Linked DNA regions of Diceros bicornis minor. The protein of the gene in region 3 purifies or fractionates together with the protein of the main gene of each other region. This does not show direct contact. Links are inferred from orthologs where the notes say so. Each region holds a gene or a part of one and is shown on either strand. Other genes may lie near its edges.

The links. Proteins that work in one complex are often made in the same cells at the same time.
Region 1: the proteins of VDAC2 (region 3) and FAM162A fractionate together in Homo sapiens (co-fractionation; 3 studies listed by BioGRID and IntAct, with this or other methods). This does not show direct contact. The link is inferred for Diceros bicornis minor from reciprocal best matches to the Homo sapiens genes VDAC2 and FAM162A.
Region 2: the proteins of VDAC2 (region 3) and PHB1 purify together in Homo sapiens (affinity purification with mass spectrometry; 4 studies listed by BioGRID, with this or other methods). This does not show direct contact. The link is inferred for Diceros bicornis minor from reciprocal best matches to the Homo sapiens genes VDAC2 and PHB1.

What each region holds. Positions count from the first base shown.
Region 1 is NC_080754.1:23,233,360-23,240,185, forward strand, and holds the start of FAM162A (protein FAM162A), read left to right. Parts: upstream 1-3,813; 5' UTR 3,814-3,874; coding exon 3,875-3,908; intron 3,909-6,826. Other genes in the region: protein MIX23, read right to left, coding at 2,734-2,784. UniProt on the Homo sapiens protein: Proposed to be involved in regulation of apoptosis; the exact mechanism may differ between cell types/tissues.
Region 2 is NC_080757.1:36,732,802-36,740,816, forward strand, and holds the start of PHB1 (prohibitin 1), read left to right. Parts: upstream 1-5,002; 5' UTR 5,003-5,041; intron 5,042-6,234; 5' UTR 6,235-6,261; coding exon 6,262-6,349; intron 6,350-7,725; coding exon 7,726-7,887; intron 7,888-8,015.
Region 3 is NC_080745.1:31,598,980-31,606,286, forward strand, and holds the start of VDAC2 (voltage-dependent anion-selective channel protein 2), read right to left. Parts: upstream 3,015-7,307; 5' UTR 2,906-3,014; intron 2,700-2,905; 5' UTR 2,676-2,699; coding exon 2,645-2,675; intron 1,545-2,644; coding exon 1,476-1,544; intron 645-1,475; coding exon 595-644; intron 1-594. UniProt on the Homo sapiens protein: Non-selective voltage-gated ion channel that mediates the transport of anions and cations through the mitochondrion outer membrane and plasma membrane.

The DNA.
Region 1 (6,826 bases), on a different chromosome or scaffold from region 3:
CATTCTTTTCTTTTTTATTTTATTTTGGACATAGGGCATTTTCTCTGGCATGCTAAATCCAACTTTTATAATGGAAAAATAAGAATTGCAAAAATTTTAAAACACTTTAAAAACTCTTAAAACTAAAACATGCATCTAAACGGAAAAAAATCAGAACAATAGTTGCAAGAGGGGCCAAAGAGGACGGATATATGGGCAAGGATTAACTGGGAAGAGGCATGAGGAAGCTTTTGGAAGTGATGGTGTTATTCTCTATGTTGATGGAGGTTTGCACTACAGGAGTACGTAAATGTCAAAACTCACTGAGCTTCAGATTTGCGCATTTCACTGAATGCAAATTTTATAGAAAGAAAGTAAATAAATATTGAACTCTAGTTAATGATATGTCAAATATGACATATTTAGGGATGAAGTATATGGATGTTTGTGACTTACTTTGAAATGCATCAAAAAAATAAGTAAAAAGGTGGCTAGATCAGGAGACGGGTATGTGATAAATAGTCATGGGCTGCATAAGGACATTTCAGTCAACGACAGACCACACATACAACGGTGGTCCCATAAGATTAGTACCATATAGGTGTGTAGTACGCTATACCACCCAGGTTTGTGTAAGTACACTCTGTGATGTTCGCACAATGACGAAATCGCCTAATGATGCATTTCTTAGACCCTTTCCTATCCTATGAATTCACTGAGACATGATGATATAGCAAATCACTGATTGTAGAATCTAGATGGTGGATACGAGTGTTCATTGTAAAATCCTTTCAACTTTTCTGTAGTTTTGAACATTTTCACAATAAAATTCTGAAAAATGTACCTAAATCTTTAAAATAAAAAATACATGCTTTCGTTTCTCTTCCACAGTATTCACTGCAGTGCTTTTCACATTTAGGGTACTTATAAACAAAATGTAATGGTTTCATAGCCTTAAAAAAATATAAACATTGATTAATTATTTGTGAGTATGCCAATTAATCACAGTTTATAATTTTATCAAATTCATCTAAACCTAAATGTTTACAGCGCCTTCGCTTAAGTTCTTATGTGCTTCTGAGGCAGAGGGGCAAATATTCTCATGCTCATTTGCAATGAGGTTAAATGATATGCCAAGGCCAGTTCTGGAAAACCAGATCTTCTGACTTTTAACCCAGGATATTTGCCATTATAAACCACACATTTGGAAAAGTCCTAGAGAAACTATCTAAAAACTTCCCCCAGGTTTCATTAATAAGACTCATTTTATGATCTTTTTATTTACATTATCTCTGTGAATGGAACGGTTCTGCAAGACAGTCTAGCTTTTGCCCCACTTACATCTTATTGGACCCTCCAAAAGAAAAATCTAAGTGTTCTTTAAGCACTGATGGATGTTTCAACAGCTAAAACAGATCTTTCGCAATTTGGTTTTAGAGGTTCAAATAATTACAGAGATGGAAGCAGTTTTAAATGTTACTTAACAGATTCAAAAGTTAATTCCTGAAGGGGTTAAGTGATTAGCTCTCAAAGCTGTTAATGGCAGAAGGAGTACTAGAACCCAGAACATATAACTCCCTAACCAGGGCTCTTTCTGATTAACCTTAAGGCTATCATTGCTCAATTATCTGAGCTCATTAACACAAGTTAAATCATAGTACTAATGTGACAAGACCAAGGCCACAAATGGGCCAGTTAATCTTAAATATTCCATATACTTTAGAATCCAAGCCTTTTTTCTATCTTAAGATTTTTACAACTATTTGTATTTGTTGGCACTTTGATCACATTTGAAGTCGGCTGCTGTTGTGCTATCTATCATCTGAGGAGCAGGTGAAGTGGTGAAGAGGGTTGGAAACGATGATAGAAAGACCGAACAAAAACTTCTTTGGCCAAATGATGTTTGTCAAATAATTCAGTTTGTTGAGGTTATCTTCAAGAATATCACTCCCTACAAAACGGCTCAAAGCAGAAAGCTTACTACAGAGAGGTCAATGTTATGTGAAATAATTTTTCAATGTCTTTAGCTAAAATAACATTTGTAAGGTCATGATTTTTTAACTCTTTACGCAGCAGCACATTTATGCCTACATTGGAACAGATACCTTTCACAGCAACTTGGTCAAAATTCGGACCCCTGTTATTTAATTCCTAGGCTTAATAAGTAGCCCTATGCCTCTGGTGATTGAATACATAAAAGATACAGCCTTTTTCTTAAATGTTACCTTTTCTCGAATGGCTAGGAAGGCAGTAGCACCATGTCAGGTACTAGAATTAATCGACCCCCCAAGACTCCAAACGTTCTGCCCCATCAAAATAGTAAAACCTGTACCAAGTTTTTTGGTTTGTTTCATCAAATAGATAAGCTCTCCTTCACTTTCTTCTCTCCTATAAATGCTCAACTTAAAGGACGGGAATGGCTGAGGCTAGGAGCTGAGTTTGCGGATGGCTAAAAGGTTGTTACAATCCCTACCCACCGGGCCCGACTTCGGCTTTCCACCGCGGAACCACCCAGAGTTTCCCGGTGCAGTTGCTGACGGCCTGGGCGGCGCAGGAAAAACCATGACCCCCACCGAGCACCCTAGCTCCTTAAGGCCAAGCCCGCGCCCCCATGACCTCCAATGGCTCGAAAAAGGAGCCTTGAATTGCCCGCTTCTCCAACAACTGGTCTGCACTCCCTCCCAGGCCAAAGCAAGAACAGGGTCCGGGGACAAAAGCAGGGATATGCCTGTAACATGAGGAAAACCGCATCACCTGGAACTCGGCGAACTCCTCACAATTCACACCGCCACTGGGCGCCGCCATATTGGACAAACGCGAGGCCCCCGCCGCAAGCCAATCACCGCGGAGCAAAGGTGTCCATGACGCCGCCTGACAAAAAAATAATTCCCAAGGGAATCCGCGCGAAAGCTAAGCACAGGGTTTGTCTTTTCCGTGATCCTCATCCGCGTCGAAGCCTGTATCCCTGCTATCCCTCTTTTTACTCTTATCCCTTTAACGTATTCTCCTGCAACTGGCCCAAGTGCATGGATCGAAGAATGTCAGAATTGGAAGGGATCTTTCTACTCCAATCCCATTTTCTTACAAAAAGGGAAACAATTTTGTGGTTGCACCAACCAGGTCGTTCCAGGAGGAAATCTACAGTAGATTTTTACCTCTCGTCCCTAGAGCAGAGGGGCGTTTGTTCGTTAAGAATTTGGGACCACTAAGAAATATAAAAAGACATTTCTGGCAAAGTGGGGTAAGGGTTGAATAAGTTGTTTAGGTGTGGAAATATTAAAATGTTTAGTTTTATTTAAAAAATAGGCAAATAGCGAACAAAATAGGAAGCATACATGTGAATTTCTCAAGTAGCTTGATACTCCCAAATCCAATAAGAGATGGGGGCCACTGGTCACTAGGAGCCCAATTACGTGTTTTTGATAAAGGCAAGTAGTCACTGAAAATACTAGCAAAAGTGTATTGAAATAACTGGTTTATGTAGGCAGTGTGACTTCGGGGTCTACAGTTCACAAAAGTTCTACATTGAGCACATTACTTTTCTTCTATTTTAAACGGGTACTTCTTTGGACGCAGAGAACGATATTGCAAACACCCAACATGCCCAGACTCCACCAAAGAATCCTTAAGGACGCCTCCAGGACGCGGCGCGCCGCCCGCACACTCGGCTCGCCACGCACGTCCCACACGCTCCGCGCAGCACGCAGGCCCCGCCCGTACGACCCGCCCGCACGCCCCCCGCGATACTCTCGACCTCCTCGCTCCGCCCTCACGTCCCACACGCCCCGCCCCCCAGCGCCGCTGGCGTCCTTCCCTAGCGGTGCTCGATGACATTGAGCGCACGGGCGCCGCCGCTGCCGCTGAGGTGCTGTGCTGGTCGGCGGAGTAGGCGGCCATGGGGAGCCTTCGCGGCCTGCGGCTGGCGGCGGGTGAGACGCGGGCCGGAGTAGGGGAGGGCTGGAAGCCAGGTCGGCGGTAGGGTGGAGGAATCCTGCAGCGTCCCCAGGCCTGGGAGTCGCTCAGTTCCATCACGCACTCCCGTCAGGTTGCTCGGAATCCTACCCCGTGGTAGTAATAATGGGAGACAGCAAGAGCTGAGCGAGGAACTGCTGAGCAGACACTGGGGCCTGGCCCGAGTGACCCTCGCACCTGGCTGTGCATCCACGCAGCTCCCACTGACTTAACGAGCCCTTGCTCCCCGATCCCTCTCCTCCGCCCCGCTCATCCCCAGCCTCCCCTGAGCTCAGTTCTTAATGCACCTGCCATCCCTAGAACTCACCCATTGCCTTTTTCATGCAGCTTTCCACTCTAACCTCTCCCGTCCGTTACTCCATTTGAGTCTTAAGTCTGGCTCCCTCACCCCCCACTCCCCACCATCTCAAGAGTTTATCCTTGCTCTCAGAGAAAACCTCAAGTCTAGGGTTTCCTACCCATTTAGTGTTTGATTAGGCAAAGATTTGAGGTCTCACAGAAGAGTAGTAATTGTTTTCTTAACATGGGGTATGCATTTCTTTTAAACAATTTTACAATTGAGTACTTCGAATTTCTTGGAGAAAAGTGTTATGTAAATACAGGATCTGCAGTTTGATTTCCTAGTAGATATTTGTGTAATTCGTATTTGGAGTCAGAGCTTAATTCACCTTTTTTGGGAACCAGCAGAGCTTTGTTTAGTAGGGACTGAGAAATCAGAATATTTGCCTCTTGGCTCTTTTCTAGGCACCAGGGCAAATCACTCTTTTGGTCGCCTTTATGAGCTTTGATAAGGTGTAATGATTGATCTTTTATTCCTTGGTACCAAATTACTAAAAAGTTGTTTAATTCAAATTTGAAAGGAAGAATTGCTCCAGACTTGGCTATTGAAATAATGTAAATGTACATTGTAAATATAAATGAAGTAATGTAAAAAAAAAAAGTTATCCTTTACATGGCTTACTTTGTGTTCCAGTGGAGGGTGGACTGGAAAACATGTCTCAAATTGGAGAATATTGTTTACTTCCTTTAAAACAAACACTCCCTTCCACTGAAAGAGGTTGATTTTATTGATTTGTTCAGCTTTGTTGAACTAATTTGCCTAAAATCTTTTGTATACCTCCTGTTAACTTTTCAGCAAGGTAAGTGAAAGAATCACTGCCCTGTAAAAAAGTTGAAACAGACTGAGTGAAAGGGGTTTGACTACATAGGGACTAAGACTATGTGTAAGTATTTCATCTTCTTGCCTTGAGAATATATTTATTCGTTATAAAGATTCCACAGCCTCTCTGCAGACTTTTGATCTTTAAGAACTTCACTATTGGGCACTCAATCAACAAAATTCCTTGAGCAATTTAAGAACGATTTATTTTACCCCAGATAGACCCATTGAGGATGTTATAAGAGCAACTCTTTCCAGAGTCTACTCTGAATGTCTGATGTTTTGTGAAGAACTCAAAGCGATCTTGCTCAGTCTTTCACCCACTTTTGCCCATTTTATAGCTAAATACTTTGACATACATTATTTTACTTGATTGATTATTCATAGTAGCCCTCTTAGGTAAGTCTTAGCCTCCCCTTTCTGTTTTACAAAAGAATAAACATGGGTCAGAGGGTTAAATGACTTGTCAAAGATTACTTCGCCATAAAATGTTAGTGCAGGAGATGAGTCAGTGCTCTAATCCAGGAATTTGTGCTTTTGCTTTGTTCAAGATGCTTATTCAGGATAGGTGTGAATACGTTTTTGTCATGCTAATTGAGTCTCTGCTGTGCAATGGAAGAGTCATGAAATGCAGATCTACGTGTGAAATGGAAGCACACATTCATGTGCAAATGAATTTTCAAGTAAGAAGACTGAACAGGCAACCTTAGCCAAAGGAATGGTAGATCAAATAGAAACATAATCTAGGCACACTTCGCTTATCCAGAATATCATTTGGGATAAGATGCTCTGGGTGAGTGAAATTTTAAATAGCCAAAGCTTAATCTTTTAAATGATGGACCTTTATTTTTAATTGTTTCTCTTGGAAATCTTTGCTGTACTCCCTTAGGGAACAGAATATAGGCTTTTATGAGCTTGAATTTGTTTATCGTTTCATAGATATAGCTGTAGATATAGGTCAGGGTTCTTACTTGTGGTTCTTAGGCCTCTTCTCAGATGAGAGGTCCTGTGAACCTCTGAAATTATATTCAAATTTTTATGATTATATACCTGTTTGGGGAAGTGAGGGTCCGTAGCTTGCATCCTGTAGCTTGCATCCGTTAGTCAGATGCAATCTGTGCTCTCTCAGTTAAAAAGCATTGGTGATAAGATCTGAAACTAAATGGCTACTCACCCACACTACTGTGGGTTCCAGGAGGGTTAAGACTGGGTCTCTTTTGTTTTTACTAAATCTTCAGCACTTATCAGTGTCCAACTCATAGTAGACAGGCAATAGATATTTTTTTTGATAACTATTTTTAATATTTTATTATATTGGAAAGTAATTATTTTTAATAGCAATTATTACTTTGTACAGAATAATTATTAGGTCAGAGGAATGAAGTGGCCTTACAAGAATGTTTCTTTTTTCTTTTTTTTGTGAGGAAGATCAGCCCTGAGCTAACATCCATGCCAATCCTCCTGTTTTTGCTGAGGAAGACTGGCCCTGGGCTAACATCCGTGCCCATCTTCCTCCACTTTTTATATGGGATGCCACCACAGCATGGCCTGATAAGCGCTGTGTCCTGCGCGCCCGGGATCAGAACCCCGGCCGCCAGCGGCGGAGCAGGAGCACTTAACCACTACACCACGGGGCAGGGGGGGCCCACAAGAGTGTTTCTTAACACCTTCAGAAACGTTGTACTGCCCTAAACTCCTTTATCGGCAGATTTTAAA
Region 2 (8,015 bases), on a different chromosome or scaffold from region 3:
GCTCTTTGGTACAGCAACTTAGACTCTAACTAACATCCCAACTAATACAAGCACTGAAAAGCCAGTCGGAAGCTTCGTGTACATGAGTGCTTGTCCAGCATGGGTTTCACTCTAAGGTAATGGCTCTCTAGGTGTGGTCCAGGTAACCTCGGGGTCCTTGAAGGGTCCTTTCGGGGGGTACCTGAAGTCAAAATTATTTTCATGATAACACTAAACCATTATTTACCTTTTTTACTCTCATTCTCTAGAGTGTACAGTAGAGTTTTCCAGAGGCTACATGACCTGTGATAGCACAACAGAATCAATGAAGAACTCGAGATTTGCAAAAATGTAAAACAATGCCACTCTTCTCACTAAATATTTTGTTTGGGAAACTTTAGTTATTTTTCATAAAAATATGTTAACACAATGAGTTCATTGTTATTTTTAAATGAGTAAGTAAATATTTCTAAAATTTCTCATTTTCATTTTGAATATATATAATCCAAATTTTATTTTCTTATTTTATTTTATTTTTTGTGAGGAAGATCAGCCCTGAGCTAACATCCATGCCAATCCTCCTCTTTTTGCTGAGGAAGACTGGCTCTGAGCTAACATCTATTGCCAATCCTCCTCCTTTTCTCCCCCAAAGCCCCAGTAGATAGTTGTATGTCATAGTTGCACATCCTTCTAGTTGCTGTATGCGGGACGCCGCCTCAGCATGGCCAGAGAAGTGGTGTGTCGGTGCGCGCCCGGGATCCAAACCCGGGCCACCAGTAGCGGAGCGCATGCACTTAACCGCTAAGCCACAGGGCCGGCCCCATATAATCCATATTTTAAAAGCTCTTTGGGGTACTTAATAACTTTTAAGAATATAAAGGGATCCTAAGATTAAAAAGTTTAAGAACTGTTGCACTAGGGTGACCTGCCTGGGCTCTTTCATTGAGGATTTCCAACTGTTAGGATCTGTAGATTTTTCTTTTGGGCTGGTTGTTTTCCCCACAGAGGAATAATTCACTCTTCTGCTGAGAAACTTTCAAGGACTTTTTGGCAAAGCCTACAACATCTGGTGCTTGCTTATTTCACCTTTGTCATCTTGTGTAACTCTCCCATTCACTCATTATGGTTTGGGACACATTCATCTTCATCTTCGTCTTCACTCGGTTCTGTCAATGGCCCATGCTCTGACCTGCCTCAAGGTCTTTGCACTGTAGGGAGATGACTCCACCATGGCGCCCTGGCAACCTTGTATGTCTCCACATAGTCCACATAGGCAAAGGCTGGAAACTCAGCTGAATCTAAGTCTTGGCAGAATGCCTTGTGATCCTCCTGGAACACAAGGGAGGCTTGTGAGGAGCTTCTACAAGGCCATTTCTCACTCACTTCCCTATCTACCTGGAAAGTTGTCATGAGGCAGTTTCTCATAGCCTCCAGGTTGTGATGAGGTCTGAAGCTTTCTGTCTCACTCCTCCGAGGATACAGTTGCAAAGTATAATACTACTTAGCTGCAGCAGGGCATTAGCTGCTCAGCAACAGAGTATCCTAACAGCTGTGTTGCAGTCATCTGGCCCCATTTGTTTCAGTGTTGCCCTACATGAGGGCCACTAGGAGCTCGCACCTTTGGCTACTCTTCCTTTTGGCGTGTATGTTAAGTAATAAACTGTCTGAATCTAAAAAGAGTTCCTTGTCTCTTTACCAGCCACATCTATCAGTCATGCCTTGCCATGTGGTTCACATGCACATGGTATTCCCTCTGCTTAAATGCTCTCTTTCCACCCCCCCAACTTTATTCACATCTTACTGTTTTAGATCTTGCCTTAAATGTCATCTCCTCATACAGACCTCCTTGACCAGCTTGTCCAAACTAGACCCCTTGTGACAGACACTTTTGGTTGCAATTCCAACACCCACTCTCCCTTCCATCCTGTTCCTGGCTAACGAGAACCCCAATGTTGACTTGTTAAGGTATTAGGCAGTCATGTGGTTTAGGAGAAGCCAGGCCCCTCCCCACTCCCAGACGATGGCTCTTGATTTGTTGAGCTCCAACAAGGCAATTTTATTCCTTTGCCAATGACTGGTCTAGAAATGGGCAGATGATAAAATTCTGCCCAACAAAACATAAAGGGATATCTGGTGCGTGCTTCCGGGAAACTTTACCTCACTCTTAGAAGGGGACCCAAAAATGTGACTTGCCCTTTTCCTGCCTTCTGGCCTTTGGTTATTGTTTTGTGAGAACATTAAGTTTGGACCTTCTGCAGTCATCTTATGGCCTTGAGAGGACAATGCCTGAGGACAAAAGTCAACACCTGAAGATGGCAGAGCTGAAAGAAGGAAAGACTGCATCATTGATGGCCTTGGCGAGCCACTAAATTCACCAACCCCAGAACTGCCCTACTACGGGACTTGTTATTTGAAATAATGTATTTCCTTTTTGTTTAAGCCAATTGAGTCCACTTTTCTGTTACTTGCACTCAAAACCTTCCTGACTGAGTCACACAGCCTCCTATTGTCTGCTTATTTCCTTCATGAAATGAGTCAAAATTTCATATAATTTATTTCTTTGTGTACTTGTCTTTGTCTGTATACCACCCTCCCCTCACCCCAGAATGTAAACTCCATGAGGACAAAGTCCTTCTCCATCTTCTTCGTCACTGTATCCCCATTGTCTAGCACGACGTCTGGGACATGCTAGGCCTCCAATATATGTGTGTTAAATGAATGAAGAAAAAGAGAGGTTCTTCTATAATTGTTTGCTTTAATTATCACCCCTCCCATGTTGGCACTGAACAAGGAAGTAGAATCAATCTTTGTTTGGATATGACTTACGGATCACCCATTCCCACAGCTTGGAAAAGCACAGGCTAGGGTATCAGACATATCTGCCATTTATCAGCTGTGTGACTGTAAGCAAGTTACTTGACTTCTCTGAATCTCCATTTCTTCATTTCCAAAATGGTGATACGAAAATAGGGCTAAATAAGGTTATGTATTTAAAAAGCAACTGGTCCATAGTCGGGGTTCAAGATATATTTGTTCTTGTCCTCAATCTGTACACCTGACTGGGGAAAGGGGCTGAAGGGGAAAATGCTCTATGTAGCAACGAATTGGACCCACTCCTAAAGCTGATGCAGCAGTGCGACTCTGTCCCTAATCTCTGTCTCACTACAATTAAATTATTCCCAGATACCCTCCTCAGTGTCCTTATCCTTCATCCTCCCCATCTCTTCACCTGTAACTAGCCCAGGTCCACATGATGCCCTCATGTCACGTGAGCCTTCCCATTGCCTTTACTTTGCAGGACAGAATGTGGGGAGGTGGCAAGAATATAGGGCTTAGACTTAGAAGACCTATGGTCCAGTCCAGGCTGGCTCTGACCAGACGAGCGACCATGAGCAAGCCATTTAACCTCTGAATGAATTATAAGACATTCTGCAAAAATTGGTTTCTTTTAATATCTTCAGCATTCTTGTTAGTGAGATTAGAATAGAAGCAGATAAGACTAAGGCTATTCTTGCAGGATTCCGGAGCAGCCTGTCCTGTGTTTCCTGACCACAGCCTAACCAGCCACTTCAACGCCCTTCATTATTCATTCATTCAACAAATACTGATTGAGTGCCCACTGTGTGCCAAGCACTGTTGTATGTTCTGGGAATAGAACAATAAAGAAAGCAGACTAAACTTTCAGTCTCATAGAGCTTTCATTTTAGTAGTCAGAGGAAAAAATTGTGGTTGGTTAGAGCAAACTCATACCACCTGAAGAGTGCTGCCATGGATATCTCTGATCATTTGAGTGTGCCAAATGGGGACAAAGAAGGGGGACAGAGAGGAGAGGAGAGAAATGCAGGAAAAAGAAATTGAAAGAATCCAATCCTACTAGAATCCAGAAATGGGCCTGGTTTTGTTAAAATTAAGTGTCCCTACATCAGTTAGGTAATGCCCCAGCTAAGAATGCAAAACCTGAATCTAATCATGAGGAAACATCAGACAAACCCAAAATGAGAAACATTCTTTTTGCTTGTTTGTTTTAATGTAATAAAAGACAACGAAGGCTGAGGACAATTTTCGGATTAAAAGAGACTAAAGAAACATGAAAAATAAATACAGTACCTAATCTTAGACTGCATCCTGTATGGGGGAGGGTGGAGACTACTATAAAGTTCATTATTGGGTCAATGGACAAAATTGGAATGCAGAGGGTAGATTAAATTTACTCAAGTTATATAAGAGAATGTCTTTATTCTTAGAAAACACAGAGAGAGAGAGAAGAAGGGGGGGACAGGGAGGGAGCAAATGATAAAGCAAATGGAGCAAATTGTTAGCAATAAACGAATTCGAGTAAAGGATACATATGTTTTTTGTACTATTCTTGCAACTTTTCTAAATAAAACTTTTTAAAAAAAATTGTGTCCAGGGGACCCGGACTCTAAGCCGAGACTTTTGTTAAATCAGTGCATGACCCTGAATGAATCCCTTCCTCTCTCTGGGTTTCAGTTTTCTGGCCCAGATGGTTTCTAAGGTTCTCTGGCTCTGGCAATCAATGTCCCACGACTGAGGACATTTCCAGACAGGGCTTTGGAAACCAGACAGTCCCTCGACTTCCCTCAAGATCTCTCAGCCCACCAGTTATTTCACAGCTTTCCCCAGAGTGCCCATCCAACCTGTTTCATCAACCGTAAATTTGCCCCTGTCACTCTTTCAGACGGCCCTCCCGGCCTATCTCCCTCAGGCTCTAGCACCGGCGCAGGATAGGCACGTGCATTTATCCCCATGGAACTACAGGCCCCAAAAGGCTTTGCGGCCACTTCTTGGCGTTTACCACCAAAGAGAAAAGCCTTTTCAGCGCAGGCCAGCCGCTGCATGGCTCTTTGGGAAATGTAGTTCATTAGTGAGGAGCCGGGGAACCAGAGTCAGGAGGCCAGCCACCCTTCCCAGAATGCACCACGCTCTTCCCCACCAATCAGAGGTGCGGATCTTGGAAGGAGGGCGGGGAAGAGGAGGAGCTGCCAGCGCATGCGCAGTATGTGAGACTGGGGAATTCATGTGGAGGTCAGTGTGGAAGCAGGTGAGAATGGAGGGGTCCAGTCTGGGCGTCTCTGCAACCTTCCTCTGCACTCCTCTTCGCAATTTGTGCAGGCAGGTTGCGTGCGTTTGTCCGCCTCGTGTGGGAGGGGAAAGGGGGTGAGCCCGGGACGAGCCAGGGGTGGCGTAAAGTAAGGGAGGTGTGTATGGGGGCAGGGTGAGGAATAATGCAGAAGCTATTAGAAGTGGAAAGGCCGAGGGGTCAGGACTGGGCGTCCTGGCCTCGAGAAAGGAATTTTTAAGTGCATGGGGGGAGGTCAAGGTAGTCTCAGGAGTTGAAACTGACGTGGACGATGATGGGCGGGGCATTAAAAAGTTAAGTGCTGTAGTAGATTCTAGTTGGGTCAGCCGTGCTCCCGGCACCCCCTCTCAGCCCCACCCTCCCCTTCTTCCAGGGCTCTGCCGCGCCGTGCAGCTGTTTAGAGCCTTTCTGCCCAATTGGTTCTTCTGATATCTTGATCCCAGGAGGTCATCCAGCTCCTGCTTCCATAATAACAGGGCATTCTTAATACCTGATGTTGAGAAGCAGTATGATGAGGAGTTAAGCTGTGCCTTCTAGAATTAGACCTGTAGGTTCTAATCCTGGTTCTGCCACTTAATAGCTGTGTGATCTTGGGCTCCTCATGTAACTTCTCTGTGTGCCTCAGTTTCTTCATCTGTAATAGTCTACTTCATAGGGGTTGGTGTGAGGATTAAGTAAATTGCTGGTAGGAGACTGCCTGGTATGAAGATTAGCTATTATTATTTTTGCTGTTGGAATCCGTGTAGCACATTCTTTGAGTTATTTTTCCAAACCAAAATTCCAAAGAACCAACCACACAGCCTCTCTCTTGGGGCCTGCTTGTCCAGGAAATGGGAGGGTGGTTTCCTGTGGTGCTGAGTTCTTCTTGGGTATCAAGCCCATATCTCATTCCCATTATTGAACCAAGTGCCCAGACCCCTTTTCTTAAGTGGTAGAAAAAGAAGGAAGAAATGGGAAAACAAAAAAGCAAAGGAATTGATACTACCCTTTTCTAAGCTATGGAGTGTCATTTATTAGGTGTCCTTCAGTGGATGGTTTAGAGCTCCACAGTGGGGAATAAATAGCCAGCTTGAGAAGTGAATATGGTGCCTCAGACAGGGCTTTCTCTGAGGATTTTGGGATCAAGTTGCTTTGTTTTGTTTTTACCCCCTCAGGTGTGAGTGGGTCCAGCAGAAGGAGACATGGCTGCCAAAGTGTTTGAGTCCATCGGCAAGTTCGGCCTGGCCTTAGCTGTGGCGGGAGGCGTGGTGAACTCTGCCTTGTACAATGGTAAGACACTGAGGGGCGGTGGGTCATTGCCTTTTGCCGGAAGACGTCTGTTGGTCTCCACAGCCTATGTGACACTCCTGATGGCAGCCGCTGTCTGTGAATGTGTTTGTGACCAAGAGGGCTCACCTGCTGCCATCCCACACTGTATGGTTGTACTGTCATCAGAACCTCTGTCCTTGTAGCTGTAGGTTCTCTCAGAGGCTTTATTCACAAGGAGCCTCCCAGCCCAGTTGCCATTGGATGTTTCCAGCTGCTCTTGTTAATTTGAAGTGATGCCACGCCACTCAAGTGTTGCAGCAGAGTGTCGCGATTGCACAGCCTGGCCGAAAGGGAGCTCTCCTTTGTTCCCTTCTGCCTGTGTGTGGACTAACTCAGCAAGGGCTTTAGACCTTTGGTGACCTTGTCCTCGGCAGGAGCTTCTGCTCTGCTGCAGTTGGGTCGTTCCAGAGAAGTATCTTTGAGATGCGTTGCCCAGCTTTTAACAATGTGGCAGGGGTTTACGCAGGCTTTTCTTCCACTTTCCTGTGTGACCTTAGGCGAGTTACTTCCCGCTCCCTAGGGGTCGGCTTCTTGATTGGTCAAGCAATGCCATTGAACTGGTTCGTCTCTAAGACCCCCTCTAACTCTGATATTCCCTCACTTTCTTTTCGGAAAGCGGATTGACCCACCTCGTGTGTGACTATCTGACAGGAGGAGGATTACTTCCAGAGTGAAGATATTTGGACCAACTGTAAAGTCCCAAAAGGCAGGGGCGGAGACAGTCGATCAGAAAAGCCTTGGCTTATATGGCGCAGTTTTATCCTCTGATCTTTTTGGCTACCCCTGCACAGCTAGACCATAATTGCCATCACTAATTTCTCGCTGAACCAACAAGACAACTCTATAACCCCTTAAAACCTTAAAGAAACCAAGCTATTGGAAGGAAAGAGTAGGACCTTCCATGTTCTGGGATTCCCCTAGCGAGGGTGCTGCTTCTGGGAACACTGGGTTAAATTGGAGCTAGGATGGAATGTGGTCACAGTGAAGACCTTGGTGCGTTTTAGAAAGAAGTTTGGGGGGTGGTTCCTGGAAATGTATTGGTGGGAGTTTGGGGATGAGGTAGTTAATCAGAAAACCAGCAACCAGTTGTTTCGAGGTGAAAGGATGCTGAGGAATAGATCCTATTACCAAAGTCCTTGGGAATACACGTGGGATAGGAAGTGATTGCTTAGTTTTGTAGCTATTTAGAAGCCTCTAGGGACCAGAAGAGTGGGAAGACAGAGGAAGAGAGCGGAGACGTAAATGAACAAGAAACACCAGGGATCTTTCAAAGGCTCAATCCTTTTGGTTCAAGAGTGAGGGGATTTTTCTGACCCGTCATTACCCTTCATTCCTAGTGGATGCTGGGCACAGAGCTGTCATCTTTGACCGGTTCCGTGGCGTGCAAGACATTGTGGTTGGGGAAGGGACTCACTTTCTCATCCCTTGGGTACAGAAACCAATTATCTTCGACTGCCGCTCTCGACCACGTAACGTGCCAGTAATCACTGGTAGCAAAGGTGAGTCTTGCCTGGGGGTCAGGTAAAGTAGAGAGTGTGGAAGGGGTGCTGTGGGTTCCAGAAGAGATTGAATTTCCCATAATAAGACTTCCTAGCATATTTTCCCTGGAGGGTTTTATATGGATTTA
Region 3 (7,307 bases):
TTGTAATTTTACTGAGTAAACAGAGTCCCACATGGCCAGTGTCTTTCCCGAATTCCTTGTGCATACATAGTAAACCACAAGAAAATCAGAAATCATATCCAGGGCCAGCCCCGTGGCTTAGCGGTTAAGTGCGCGCGCTCCGCTACTGGCGGCCCGGGTTCGGGTCCCGGACGCGCAGCAACGCACTGCTTCTCCGGCCATGCTGAGGCCGCGTCCCACATACAGCAACTAGAAGGATGTGCAACTATGACATACAACTATCTACTGGGGCTTTGGGGAAAAAAAAGGAGGAGGATTGGCAATAGATGTTAGCTCAGAGCCGGTGTTCCTCAGCAAAAAGAGGAGGATTACCATGGATGTTAGCTCAGGGCTGATCTTCCTCACAAAAAAAAAAAAAGAAAGAAAGAAAGAAAGAAAAAAAGAAATCATATCCAAAGCCAAAATAAATCAAGTTACATGCAAATCCCTTAAAACAAAATTAACTTCTGCCTCTTCTTTAAGATAAAATGGGTAGACATCTTTCAGTTATGACTATTTTATAGGTTGAATACTACATAAAGGCTCATCAGAACTTATGAAATATCTAACACTCACCACGCCACTGCATGACTTTGTTTTCACATCCAGCTTCACCAACCCAAAACCTTAAAGAAGAGAGCAAAAGATAACAAAATGATTCTTTCACATGAAAGATGCAAACCAAGAGCTGACTACACACATAAAAAAGTAGTCAGCTCTTGGTTGAGCTGACTCAAAAAAGATTTCACATATTCAGAAGGGGATAAAAATGTATGTTGATACACAGTATTAAAATGAAAAAATTTTAAATTATTCTATGCAAACTGACAGGTAAAGGACAGAACCACTCTACGCAGCTTTGCATAGTGTTTTGGTGTATATATGGCACCAAAAAAAAAATGCTTTCAAACCATTTTAAAACCTAAATACCAGATCAGAGAATCAATTCAACTTAAATCTCAGAATAGCCAATAGTTTATTATAATACAAACATTTAGAACATTTATCCCAAAGGGATATCTCTCTTTGGGATTAAAAAATCTAAATAATTGGGGAAATAATCTAAAGGGCGGGAGTGGAAAAAAATCTTCAAGACAACCCAAATTCAATGACAAAGCACATAACCCATTAGGAGTCACCACCACAAAAGCAAAATACAGTAATATATCCTAATTCTAGTCAACCACGGCATAAGCTATAACTGAAGGAAATGAAAACACAGTTGTTTTTTTTCCTAAAGATAAAATCCTTAAACTAGAGTTTGAAAAAATTGGAGGAAACTGGGGTAGAAGGGGATGTGGATTGTTACAAAACTATTTTAACAGAAATTTTATCTAAAATTTATCTAAAAGAAGAATACAATAAAATATTTACAATTTTAATTACTAATTTAATTTCCCTAAGAAATCCAAACACATTTTCACTTCTGATCTAAAATTTTTTTAAAAAGTTCTTACCAAATCCTTTGTTGAAAATATCTCTGGCAGCTTTGCCAAGGTCAGCGTATGAGGGAGGAACACACATTGCTGGTGGGAAGAAACATTCCAGTGTTAATGTTGCAGTTCTCCCACTTTCTGTCCAAGAACTAGATTATGACCCACTGCTATCTTTAAATTCAAGCAGTCTAACCTGTTGAAGATGTGTTTTTGACACCACCAGGAGCTACAATAAAACTGTATTCTAATGATCCACGAAGGACATATCACCAACAAAGGCTTATTTCTAAAATGGATAACCACAGTAAGTGGCTATACGAACTCGGGAAATTCTCTACAAAATAGAAAAACAGACTTCCTATTCCTAACTATACACAGTGCCTACAGCCTCAACGCCTAGGACTGGACTAGTACAAAGATGCAAACATATACACACATATATATCTATACATACAGATATATCCGCCAAAATTCACTGGAACGGGCTGATTTACCCAAACGAGATGAAATCAAAACCTAACACAAGGCCCTCTCCCCCAATATATCCCTTAGTATCCTCACTGAGGTCAAAACCAACATTCTGGAGTGGGAAGAGAAAGCTAATTTACACTATGGGAATTTAAATATTGAAACTTAGGGAAAAAAGGGCCATCTATGTTTCACTCAAGTGTCTACATCAACTAACTATCCAACGGCACTTTAAACATACTAATATGACACTCAAGTCCTCGGCCAATGCTGTGTGGCTTAAGGGCAAGCAATCTGATCTACTTACACTAGCTCATTCATTCTACAAAGCACGTCCACGCCCTTAGGAGCACATGTAATGACCTTGCGCTCTCTCAGAGGAGTTACTACTTCCTCTAGAAAAGTGACTGATCCAATCCTCCAAAGGCTGAATCCAACAAATAACTTTCTGCTTTTGAGTTGGTCAAAGACACGTCCAAAAACTGAAAGTGAATGCAGCCACAGACCAACTCCCCTGGCCTAGGCCTCTTATCCGAAATCCAGCAGCCCAGCCCCTCCTCCGCAGAGACGGGGGGAGTCAGGACCGAGGAGTGGCTACCGAAAGGGGCGAATGTCCAAGTCCTTGGAGAGATGGGGGGAAAGAAGCTGCGGTTTTCTGGTCCACAGGCTTCGACTCCCCGGACACCGCCACCCCAGCCCGCAGAGATCCCTTCTCCACTTACGCCGCGGGCAGCTCTGTCCGTAGGTCGTCATGGCGAGGCCGCGGGAAGAAGTGATCTGCCGGAGAGAAAATAAGTGCGGTCAGCGGGGGTGAGGGGCGGGTCAAGAGGCCAGAAAGGGGTCTCAAACAGAGAAAGGCGAGGGGCCGCGGGGCAGCGCGGCCATCTTAGGGAGCCAGGGCCGACCCCGAGTCCGGCTCAAGCCTCCTGCTTAGCCGCCGAGGCCTAGACTCCCAGGTCGGAGTGAGGCGGGCGCGGCGGTACCTGCTGGTCTCCTGAGAAGAACCGCCGCCGCCGCTCCGTTCGCAGCTAAGACCGCTCGGCTCGCTCGGGGTCGCGCTGCAGCTGCCGCGGCTGGAGGGCGAAGTGAAGGAGACACCGTTCCGCCCGCCGCAACCCTATCCTCCCCCCGCCAGGACCCCGCCGCTGCCCCCGGGGCTGTCCGCCGCGCCTGTCTCCGCAGCGCCACCCGCTGCCCACTCCAACCCGCTCCGGAACGGCCTCGTGGGCCGAGAGCACCTCCGCCCCCGGAGTGGACCGCCTCCGTCCGTCGGCGGGGGCCGGAAAGGCAGAAGCTGCTGGACCTCGGGTCAGGCAACGATGAGGGCAGCCCCAGAGGCGAGGGGGCGGGGAACGGCAGAGGCAACGCGGCGGGGATGGCACGGGCGGGGGATGGGGCGGAGGCCCCGCGCGCGCTCGTCACGGGCGGGCGGGGCGTCAGGCGCGTGCCCGCGCGGAGCCCTGCGAGGCTGGGCGTGGCTGCGCACCCCGCAAGTCACGTACATCTCTCGACTATGTTTCTCGACTGTGGTTCTCTGAAGCTGCCGAGGCCGTCTGCCATATAGATCGTCTGGAAGGAAGTAGCTGAGCCTTACTCCCGTTTACCCTAGGCAAGTGCGACGTGCGCTTCTGAAAGACCGTCTCTCTGTCCAGGCCCAGGGAGAAACGAGTGGGGCACAGGGTCACCACTTCCAGTCCCTCGCGCCCTCCCTTCCTTCGTCTGTTTCCCGCGGCGGTGTAATCGCCATGCTGAGCGGGACTCCGCCTGAGAGGCTCTGTTGGCCTCGGCATGCCGGTCCCTGAACAAACGTGAGCACATCTCAAGGTGCCCCGCCCCTCCCATCCCACCCTCCGTCCGTGCTTAGGGTTCCTCTTCTGCCGCCTTCTGCCCGCTTAGGGATGGAACTGCTTTGCACATGCACAGAACCCACGCTGTCTTGGTGAGTCAAGCCTGCTAGAAAATTTAGGAATCATGCTGACCAGGCATTAGAATGCTGCACTCAAGTTCCTGGGTGTACAGGAAGAGGGAGCCAAGGGAACAGAAAAAAAGCCTAACGAGCTAGAAATGGGGTCACTCGAGGCTCCGGAATCAATCGCCCATCTTAGCAATTTATCCCCTTTGTACCCCAGTTTCCTTATCTATAAAATGACAGGTTTAAATCAAATGAAGTGGTCTTTAATAGCCATCAGCCACAGACTATGAGCAAAGACTTTTTCCCCCTGATTTCCTCTGGCTCTGAAAGCCACCTCTGGTCAAATGCTGCCAAGGTTCCACCCTTCTCCTGTACCAGGAAAAGCATAGCTAGATAGGCTTCCACAATCCAAAACCGGATTAAAGCTGCAGCCTGATAGATATCCCTCCCATGAGCAAACCCAGCCAGCAATCTTGCCTGGTCATGGTTGGGATTACTCATGTAAAGGGTTAGAAGAAGAGAGGAGTCTTTGCTCCTAACAGTTCAGGCACCAAAAGCACTGATTAATTCTTTCATTCAAGCTCAGACAGGTTGGTCTGAAATCAGCTTTGCTCCACTGGGAGCTGGTCTGCTCTGGCTCTGTTTGATGCTGTTGTGAGGCTAATAGCAGAGACTGACTTCCCATTCCAACTGCAGCATAACACACCACCTCCCAGAAGAACCTAGTCTCTGCTCAGTCACTTCCATTACCTGCAGTAAGGCTTATTCACATTGTGAACTATCTGTAGCATTTTTAACCTCCAGAAAATTTCACTTTGTACAGAACACTGATCTGAGGCTTCACCCTCTACAAACCCAAGGAATGTACACAATACCTAATAACCAGGAGAAGAAACACGGCAATTTACTTCAAAGTTGGATTCAGTAAATGTATCTGAGTGCTTACCTCCAAAGCCCTTTAGACCAAAGCAGCATTAGTAGCAGCCACCACTTACAGAGCAACTACCTTGTGTCACCCACAGGGAAAGCAAAGTCCATTCAGACGCAGCTCCTGCTCTCAAGCACTTAAAGTCATGTGTATATAGGTGTCAAGAACTGTGAAGGGTCTAAGATTTTACCCTACTTACAAGCTAGCAAGTTAGCTTGCCATAGGTTCATAAGTTTATAGATGCTGGCTGAAGACATGAGACTCGAAGGTCAGAGACAAAAGACTTCGTTACTTGTGGCACAGCAGGCAGCATAAGCTTAATGGTGGAATCAGTTCCACTTGCCTTCTACGTCCCACAGGAGTGATGCAGAGCACCTAGGTAGAAGCTGTGCACACCATGTATTTATGTCACAGTTCAGGAATCCTGACCTTAGGAAACCCCCTGCTTATAAGGAGCTGCTAAAAAACCTGCCCAACCTTTGCCCCAGAGGGAGACATTACAGTGTACTTCTCAGGAAATTAAATCTTGCCTCTGCCCTAGAAGGAGACACTACCTCTATTTCCAAAGGCTGTTTGCTATGCAAACATCCTTGTAAAAGTATATTGCCACAGAGGACTGTGGGCACAGTCAGGCTGAGGAGACGCTTGCACTAAAGTTTCAAAGTAGGACTTATCAAAATTAAAAAGCCCTAAGGTCAAAGATGGAAACGCAAAATTCTAGAAAGAGGTATGTGCAAAGCCATATGGGGGCTTGAAGTGACAAGAATCATTTGGAAACCACAAGTAAGTAAAGCTGGAAAAACCTGTAGAAAAAGTTGAGAGATTAGTGTAAAGATGTTGGCTGGAGCTAAATACTGAAGGTCCTAAAAACAGTGAATGAGGAGGAGTCTAGGGTGGCTGGGAGCAACATTTCTGGCTTGAGCAACTGGGAGGACAAAGGTTCTACTCACTGTCGGAAGGGCTACAGGAAGAGGGACAGGTGTGAGAGTAAAGAGGATGATTCAATTTCGGATAAGTATGAGGAGCCAGGGGCCACATCTAAATGGAGTTGTCCAGTAGGCAATTATGAAGCCTAGGAGAAAGGTCTGGGTAAGAGGCTAAAAGAAAACTCAGGAGGGAGTGTTTTCCTGGAAGCCAAAGGGGAGAGCAGTGGGGAGGAAGGAGCACTCAACAGTGTCACATCCTGAGGAGCACTCAAGTGAGGTAAAGACAGAGTATTAGTTACTATTACTGTGTAACAAATTACCCCAAAACTTAGTAGCTTAAAACAACAAACATTTTATTATCTGGAAGCTTCTGTGGGTCAGAAATTAGGGAATGGCTTAGTTGGGTGGTTCTGGCTCAGGGCCTCTCATGAGGTTGCAGTCAAGATGTTGGCTGGGGCTACAGTCTTTTAAAGGCTTGACTGTGCTGAAGGATCCACCTCCAAGATGGCTCCCTCATGTGGCTATTGGGAAGAGGCCTCAGGTCCTCATCATGTGGATCTCTCCATAGGGCTGCTTGAGTGTCCTCATGACACGGCAGCTGCTTCTCCCAGAGCAAGTGATTCGAGAGAGAGAGAGAGAGAGAGAGAGACTGAAGGCGCAATGTCTTATATGATCCAGCCTCAGGAATCACACTGTCATTTCTGCCTTATTCTCTTTGTTAGAAGTCAGTTACTAAGACTAGTCCACACTCAAGGGAAGAGCAATTAGGCTCCACCTTTTGAAAGGAGTGTCAAAGGATTTGTGGACATATTTTAAATCACCACAGTCGATCCTCTGGTCACATTATTTCTATTTCTCCTAAACAGAAAATACACTGATTCCCTCCCAAGACTTCCCCAAAACCTCCAGCCTTTATAGCATCAGCAAGAGGCCTCTCAGGTGTAGTTCCTTAAGTGCAGCAACTCCAGTACAGTTCCTCTTGATTTGAAGACCTATGAAGTAAAGAGAGAAGCTGTCTGCCCCCTACACACACATCTAACACACACAGAGTGGGATAGGCACAGGATAACTGCTAAAGACACCCCTGGTCAAAAAGAGGGAAACAGGAGATACACAGGAGTCCACAACAGTTCTGAAATCCAGCCAGACAAATTTTGAAGATGCCTTTATTAGGACTCAGTCCTACTCCTGTCTGTGCCAGATGAGGTCACATGGGGAGAGCCAGCTCTAGATACACATTCCTTCTCTTCCTGCCCCAGGCTCTGTCCTTCAGTGTGAGGAATACACCCCAGCCCACACATCCAAGCTCCATCCCGCCTCACATACATATGCTCCTTGACTATCCCATGGGCTTAGGGGTGTGTCACTGGCAGTTCAATCCATGCTCAGAAGAAAGGGCTCTGGAGAAGTCCATGCAGGCCCCAGAATGAGGCTCAGGACTGTTTCAACTGGGAAGACTGAGATCTTCTGTATCCAGAGTTTGGTCCAGATAAGGAAAGGGTGGGCATGGGCTTTGGTGGGCATGTTCCCTTGGCCCTGCAGACTCCTCACCCCATAGGAAAAGGCACAATGTGAGAAGGGTTAGAGTGAGTCACTCTAAAGTATGAGGCCCAGGGTGG